Linked DNA regions of Chlamydomonas reinhardtii. Each later gene encodes a partner of the first gene's protein in a complex. Links are inferred from orthologs where the notes say so. Each region holds a gene or a part of one and is shown on either strand. Other genes may lie near its edges.

Region 1 (3,742 bases):
GCCGGAAGCCCAGCTGCAACAGGAAGGACAGCGTGTGGGCCAGCTCGTCACCGGACCTGCGGGCGCGTGTGGGGTGGATGCGGGAGTGGGGGTGGGCATGGCTGAGGGGTCGGGCTCAAAGCCAACGCCACCGTTGACACACACATCACGCGGCACATAGCAGCCTCCTGCCGGCACTACCGCGATCACAGGCGCCCGAGCTCAGTACGCCCGTGACGTCTCCACCCGCCTGGCCCCCGCAAGCATGTACCCTGCACGTCCCCGCCCACCCCACAAGCCCTTATCGCACACACACACACACACACACACACACACACACACACACACACACACACACACACACACACACACACACACACACACACACACACACACACACACACACACACACACACACACACACACAAGCACGACTCACGCCGCCTCTGCGCCGCTGATGTACTCGCGCAGCACAGCCCAAAGCTGCCTGTCCCCCGGCTGTAGCAGCCAGTGGAAGCTGCGCTGCGTCACCGCCAGGCTGCTACTGCCGGCGCCGCCGCGCGTGGCGGGCCGCCCGCCGCCGCTACTGCCGCCTGCAGCGTTTGCTACAGCCGCTGCCGCTATGTCGGACAGGAATGCGAGCAGTCCGGCTTCCACAAGCAGCGACCGGATGTCCAGTTCTTTGTAGTTGCGAGCCTGAGAGCGGTTGCGCGCGTGCGGGTCATCATATTTGTTCTGGAGACCTGCTGTTGTTAGTTAGTATACCTGGCCCATGATTGCGTTGTTGCATCAACGGCTGCGTCAGGGCTCAACCCATATGGCTTCGTCACGGAGGCGACAATAGCTTCCTCAACCACGCCTTCCGTGTCCTTTCCTGCCTTCCCTTCCCTCTCCGTCCCTTCCCTACCGCCTGCCCGCCGCCGCCCCGTCCTCGCACGTGCGCGCTCTCACCCTCAGCAGCTGCGGCAGCTGCGGCGGGCTGCGGCTGCTCCCCAGCAGGTACAGCTGCAGCGCCTCCCATTGCCCCACCGCCCACTCGCCCAGCTCCTCCAGGGAGGGACAGCAGCTGGCGGCGGCGGCTGGCACGTCGCCGCGCATGAGCTGGGAACTGCGGCAGGTGGTGGGCAGGGGGAGGGGGCGAGCAGGAGGAGGAGGAGGGCAGGAGGGGGGACGAGTCAGCCGATGTTTATGAAGCAGTGGTTCGCCTGGAGCTGCCCGGACGGAGCGCGTGCCGTCGCCGGCCTCCAGACCCTCCACAGCCCTGCTGTCCGCGCTACAGCTCCACAGGCCCCTTTGGTCCTTGCCCTGTTGCTCTCCTACCCCGGCCTTGTCCCGCTCTTGCCCTGCTCCTGCCCCGCTCCTGCCCCTTTCCTGCCCCGCTCCTACCCCGCTCCTGGCGACACTCACCCGCTGCACACCACCGTCTGCAGCTGAGCCCGGAAGTCCGGGTGCAGGCACCACAGCGCCACCGCACCGACACCACCGCGCTGCTGCCGTGCCGCGGCCCTCGCCGCCAGCGCCGCCGCCGCCCCTGCGTCCGGCCCTCCGCCTCCACCAGGGCCCCCGGGCGCCGCCACCTCTGTAAGGACGTCCAGTCCGCGCAGTGCCGACAGCGCTGCCTTGTGTCCGCTGGCCGCGCCCTTGGCTGCCCAGCTGTCCACAAAGTCTGTGTTGGGTAGCGCCAGGTAAGCCTTATGAGCGTTTAGTGAACCTGTGATTTCCAAGCATACGTGGCGCCCACACGCATGGTCCCGACGCTCGCCTTCACCCCGCCGTGCACACACGCCCAGCGGAACATGCAAACGCACACAGCGCACACACCTGCTGGGAAGGGCGACGGCACGAACAGCAGCCGCATCACATAGACCTGCAGCCGCAGCCGTGCAGACAGCATGTAAAAGAGACCCCTGACCCTCACAATCAACTGCACCGCCATGTGCAATATCACTGAATGGACTCGTGGCGTTTGATACGGCGGATTCGACAAAGCCTCCTCGTCCGCTTCGCCTTCCTCAGATAGCCCCCGTTGCGTCAATTGTCCGCTGCTAGCCTGCTACCACCCCTCCGCGCACGCTCCATCGACGCCACGCCACTCCACACCGCTTGCGGCAGCCAACGCAGCAACCACTAACACCACTGGTACCACCCACCTGCGCCAGAGGCGGCAGATTCCTGAAAACGGCTAGGCAGGTCCAGGGGGAGCGGTATAGAGCGCCGCGCTTGGGGCCGGGCAGGCCACTGATGTAGGCAGCGAAGTCCATTCGTGTTGTATTTGATAGTGGGCGAGGAGAAGGCTAGGATCTAGGAGTGGGGTGATGCGGAATGGCTGGCTCGAACACTGGAGCCCCCCGCGTGAACGCACACCACCCGCAGACCCGTGCCGTGGCACCCGCGGGGCTTGACACGGCGCTCGATGCCCCCGCCCTAGGAATACGATCCGCGGACAGAGAGATATTTGCTAATAGGGCGCGACCCTCGCCGGACTCTTGCCGACCCTCCGAGCGGCTCCTGCGCCAAGAGCACGCTATCTAATAGAATAACGTTAAGCACGAGAATGCTTGGGATCTACTCGCTGGTGTTTGAAAGTGCAGCGGTGCTAAATAGCAGTGAAGTGCAAACACCTTGGTGCGCGCATACAATAAGAAAGAGCTTGGAATTTTACATATAAGAGTCGAGAATGCATTGACAATTTATTTTCTGGGCTGCAGAAGATTGTTTATGAGGAGACCCATGGTAACTATACTGTAGAATTTCTCTCCCTGATGGTAAGTGTTCTTGCCACGCATACTTTTCAAACAGCAAGAGCGCTCATAACTTTTCATTTCTTCTACGGCAACGTTTACCTCTGCCAAGACGGGTGTTAAACCCTGGCCAGTCGACTTCCGACTCGCGCTCCTTGCGCTGCTGTTGCAGCAGGGGAAGGCGCCTTAACAGAATGTTGTTGATAGCAGCGGCAGGAGCCGCGGTAGCCTGGCGCGCCTTGGCCATCAAGGTTCGTTCGCGCGGAGTGCTGTTGGACCAGAAACCTTCGCCCAGAGGGAGTAGGAGTAAATGACTTGAGTTAAGGCAGGTCAGCGCGCTCAGCGCACATGTGGCGAGGACCCAGCGGGACAATCCAAATTTGTCCGGCGAGGGGCCTCGCTTTGAGCGCCCTGGCTCCCGCAAACTGCAGGCTCGCTCTGGTAAAGGAGTTGTAGCTGTTACTCAAGATGCGCTTGGTAAGGATGCGACAAGTCAGGCGCAAACAATAGCCGAGCTTGTCGATTTCCGTGGAATGCTCACTTCAAGCCTTGAAGCTGGGGAGCTTGAGCATGACATCGACGCTGTCAACCACGCCCTATACTGCGGCGAAGAGGCTCTGCCCTGGCTCATGGAGCTGCTGGTGAGGCGTGAAGCCTGGGACTTGGGCATGTCCTTGAATTGGCTCGCGGTGGAGACGCGTCCCTAGCCGCGCTCTTGCGTCATCGCGATGTTCTGCATGATATGGAGCACCGCCCGGGGCAGGTTTCCTTGGGCGGTGCGGTCACCACAGCATTGTCGTTCAGCCGTTGGTGACAGGTTCGGCGACGCACCCTGAACTCGCCGGCCCCAACGCTTGCAGGAGTCGGACGACCAGGACACCTTGAGCGAAGTCGCGGAGATCCTGGTGAGCGGTTGGGCCCTCGGAGCTGAAGTTCGCTGCGTCGCCCCGGCACACACCGCACGCAGGCTCGAGTTGCATTCCGGCCCCACCGCTAACTCCGCGCGTGGATTACCGTACCCC
Region 2 (3,742 bases), on another chromosome or scaffold:
CATGAGCGGCTGGGCTGGCAGAAAATGGACAGGCACACGCTGCACACGTAGCCAGTCTCTATGACGTACTTGTGGCAGAAGCAGGAGGCACGGAAGTCCACCCCTAAGGCCTGAGCCTCATCCAGCTGCTTGCGGGTGGCGGTGTCGCACACGAAGTGGTTGAGCAGCACACCCAGCAGGCCGCGACCTCGGTGCGGCCGGAAATACAGCCCGCCTGCGTGTGTGCATGTTGGGCATTGTGGGTTTGGTTGTGTCAGCGAGCCGAGCACGCCGCCGCTGCCACCGGGTTGCAGCGTGCGGCCTCAGCTTGTGGCTCGCTCGGTCATACCGGTATGCTCTGGCTCGTAGAACGTCAAACTGCTCAACGGCGCAGCCAACCATTGTTTAGCCCCATCCCATGCGTGGCCTACCAGCATCAACCAACGCACCCACTGCAGCCCTTCCTCAAACACCACCTTGAGCACCGACGAATGCCACCAAGCCCTCAAGCACCCAGCAGCCCACCACCTACCACCCTACCACCCTTCCACCCTAGAACCCTACCACCCTACCGCCCTAGCGCCCTAGCACCGCACCTGTGAGGTGCGCGGCCTGCTGCATGAAGGACGAGTCCTGCGGCGCCACGACCACCGCATCCAGCACCACCTGGGCGCGCTGCGCGGAGAAGATGGCATTCATCACCGGGATGTACTGAGCCGCCGTGTCGCCGCAGCCCAGCAGCGCCAGCACACGAGGCCGCCCGCGCGGCCGCCCGCCCGCGGCCGCCTGCTGCTGCTGCAGGCGGTGGACCAGACACAGCGCGCGGGACAGTGCGCCCGACAGCGCGAAGCCGGGGCCTGGGGCGGGGTGGGGTTGGGGGTGGGGGTGGGGGGTTGCGTGAGTGCCGGCAGACGGCAGAGAGACTGGGGCCAAGCGCGATGCGATGCACGGTGAACGGCGAACATGCAAGCGCCTTTACCCTGGTCCGTGCGCCCGACATCGACACATTCCCCTCCTTTACCACCACCCAAACAAGGCGCTGCCACTCGCCAACGCGGCATCATTCCCACCTGCGCCCTGGCCAGCATTGGCTGCAGCCCCTGCGCCCGCGCCTCCTGCCGCCGCCGCCGCCGCGCACTGCGTGACCAGGTCCGTCAGTCGTGTGTGCAGGGCGCCGGCGGGGAAGACCTCGGTGTTACTGGCGTCCTCGCCCAGGCCCAGGTGCACCAGGTGGCTGAGGGGGGAGAGGGGAGAGGGGAGAGGGGGAGAGGGTGGATGACGAGTGGAGTTGATGCGGAGGGGTAGTAGGTGCGGGCAGGTGGTGGGTTGGAAGAGACGTGGGATGGTCGCAAACAGGCGGCACCCGCGGGAGAGGGCGGCACAGGTTGGGAAGCAGGCGGCACAGCAGCAGCAGGAGTGCAGCTGCGTCCAGACCACGGCACGGCCTGTGTGCGTCACGGCCTGTGTGCCGCACGGTCCGGGCTGGCCCCAGCACCTGGCCGGCTGCTAGCGGCCGCCACACACCCCGAACACTCGCACAGAGCAGCTCGCACCCCCCATGCCCCCCATGCGTGTGCTGTGTGCAGCCTTGGCACTGCAGCAGCGCCAGGGACCCATGGGGCCATGGCGCTCGTGTGGAGGCGCCATGCGGAGGTAGCTGGCGGCTGGCGGCTGGCGGCTGGCTGCTAGCGGCGGTCGGCTACGAAGCAGGAGATAGGCTCCGTCTGGGCCGGCCAGCCCCGCACCTGAAGTCGTGTTGCCCCGCGAACACGGCGAGGCGGTTGTGGCTGCTGAGCATGGTGTAGGCATTTGCAAAAGCCAGGAGCTGCAGGAAGTCAGGGGCAGGAGGTGAGGGGCAGGGAAGGGTATGGGCATGGGGTGCAGGTGTTGCAGCAGGTCAGCACGCGAACGGCAGACAAAGGCGGAACGCGATGGTTCTTCCCCGCGTGCGCTCCCCGGCCCCACCTGAGACAGGATCTCGGCCGGAGTCACGTCAAGGGAGTCCGCCGAGGGATTATCCGGGCGCAGCAGCACCAGGTCGAAGAGCACCACCAGCAAATCGCCCTCGTCTGCGACAGAGCGAGTCCATTTCAGTCGCGTTAAATGACATTGCTAACCTAATGTTTTTAAGCCCCGAATGACTTGCCCGCCATGGCCTCGGCGCCCGCCGCGCGAGCAGCGCGCGGAACTTAATGTGCAGTGCAGCTCATTGACACATTCATAGACTTGCTTCCCGATTTATTACTTGTAAGCTTGATATCTATACATAATTCATGTATTGACTGGCATCGAAAATCCACGGAAGACTCCGATCGATGCAATAAATACACGCGGGTCCATTGGCCCCAGCTTCACGTTCTAGATCGCTCCACTGCGCTTGTTTCCTAGGCCAACTATGCTCTCTGGAAGCCGCTACACCTGCACGTCAGCAGCGGCGAAGCGACAGCTGCAGCGGACGGAGCGGGCTGCACGTACGGGTGCTCCACGGGGTCAGGGTGTCGTTGCCATGGCAACTTCCCCAGCCCCCGATGCGGCCAAGCTGCGGTCCATCGTCCAGGCGGGGTCTCCCGTCCTACGGCAGGTGCGAGCTTTACAGCTGACACGCAGCTTCGCCGCACACCCCTTGCATTCAGCATTCCGTCCCCTGTCCCCGCTCCTGTGCCGGCCCGCACGCTGGTTGGGGTTGAGGCTCGGTGACTTGCTTGCTCCTCTGCCCGCAGCACAGCCTGCCAAGACGGTGCCTCGCGAGCTGCTGGGTAGCGGCTGGCTCCGGGGCCTGGCAGAGGAGATGACGGACGTCATGCGTGCGGCGCCGGGGGTGGGGCTGGCCGCACCACAGATTGGCGAACCCTGGCGGGTGGGTGGTGTAGACGATAAGGAAGGGGGGCGGTGGGCAGTGCGGTAGGCAGGCTGCGGCTGGGCTGGTGCCGCGTTGCCGTGCATGTGCCGGTGTCACTCCATCACCGCACGTTGGTGCACGCAGCTAGGAGCGAGCAATAGGGGCATGGCGACCCACATCGGCACGCTAGGTTCGCACTTGCATGTTCGCATGTTCGCACACCACTCCTCGCTGCATCGCTGCGGGGCCCGCAGGTAATTGTGATGGAGGACCGCCAGGAGTACATGGACCGGCAGGCGGCGGCGGGCGTGTACAGCGCCGAGCTGCTGGCGGCGGTGGAGCGGCGGCCGTTCGGGCCGCTGGTGGTGGTCAACCCCACCCTCAAGGCGGTGGGGCAGGAGGGCGGCGCGTTCTTCGAGGGCTGCCTCAGCGTGCGCGGGTACACGGTGGGTGGGTGGCCGCGGCAGTCTGCCTGCCTGGGGAATGAGGGAAGAGAGGGGGTCGTGGGGCGGTTTTTGCCGTACAAAGGGATAAGCGGTCAGAGGGAGTGGGTTGTGTTGGGGTGTAGGATGCGAGTGTCTGGCAGAGGAGCACCAAGCTGGGCGGGCGGTGCTGCGGCAGTTGGTGGCGAAGCAGCGGGGCCTGGCACACGCCAGCCCCACATGCACACCCACCTACTGTCGCAAGCCGCCGTATGCTTTCCTTTCACGCTGCTGCTGCTGTTGCCGCGCCCCTGCAGGCGATTGTGCGGCGGTACCGGGAGGTGGACCTGGAGGGGGTGGACGTGGAGGGGCTGCCGCTGCGGCTGCGGCTGACGGGCTGGGCGGCGCGCATCGCGCAGCACGAGGTGGACCACCTGGCCGGGGTGCTGTACGTGGACCGCATGGACGCCCGGAGCCTGGCGGCGGCGGACAACATGCCGGA

Evidence for each region. Proteins that work in one complex are often made in the same cells at the same time.
Region 2: CHLRE_09g403300v5 (region 1) and CHLRE_03g172050v5 share a complex: the UniProt entries of both Arabidopsis thaliana proteins name them as parts of the 7-subunit TFIIH core complex. The link is inferred for Chlamydomonas reinhardtii from reciprocal best matches to the Arabidopsis thaliana genes AT4G17020 and AT1G18340.

Annotation. Positions count from the first base shown.
Region 1 is NC_057012.1:640,971-644,712, reverse strand, and holds the start of CHLRE_09g403300v5 (uncharacterized protein), read right to left. Parts: upstream 2,642-3,742; 5' UTR 2,241-2,641; coding exon 2,130-2,240; intron 1,847-2,129; coding exon 1,801-1,846; intron 1,646-1,800; coding exon 1,387-1,645; intron 1,088-1,386; coding exon 931-1,087; intron 676-930; coding exon 419-675; intron 57-418; coding exon 1-56. Other genes in the region: CHLRE_09g403350v5 (uncharacterized protein), read left to right, coding at 2,915-2,971, 3,152-3,361, 3,581-3,625. UniProt on the Arabidopsis thaliana protein: Component of the general transcription and DNA repair factor IIH (TFIIH) core complex, which is involved in general and transcription-coupled nucleotide excision repair (NER) of damaged DNA and, when complexed to CAK, in RNA transcription by RNA polymerase II.
Region 2 is NC_057006.1:4,011,044-4,014,785, forward strand, and holds the start of CHLRE_03g172050v5 (uncharacterized protein), read right to left. Parts: upstream 2,233-3,742; 5' UTR 2,133-2,232; coding exon 2,126-2,132; intron 2,049-2,125; coding exon 1,945-2,048; intron 1,805-1,944; coding exon 1,725-1,804; intron 1,214-1,724; coding exon 1,050-1,213; intron 837-1,049; coding exon 576-836; intron 215-575; coding exon 1-214. Other genes in the region: CHLRE_03g172100v5 (uncharacterized protein), read left to right, coding at 2,486-2,560, 2,705-2,836, 3,073-3,264, 3,558-3,742. UniProt on the Arabidopsis thaliana protein: Component of the general transcription and DNA repair factor IIH (TFIIH) core complex, which is involved in general and transcription-coupled nucleotide excision repair (NER) of damaged DNA and, when complexed to CAK, in RNA transcription by RNA polymerase II.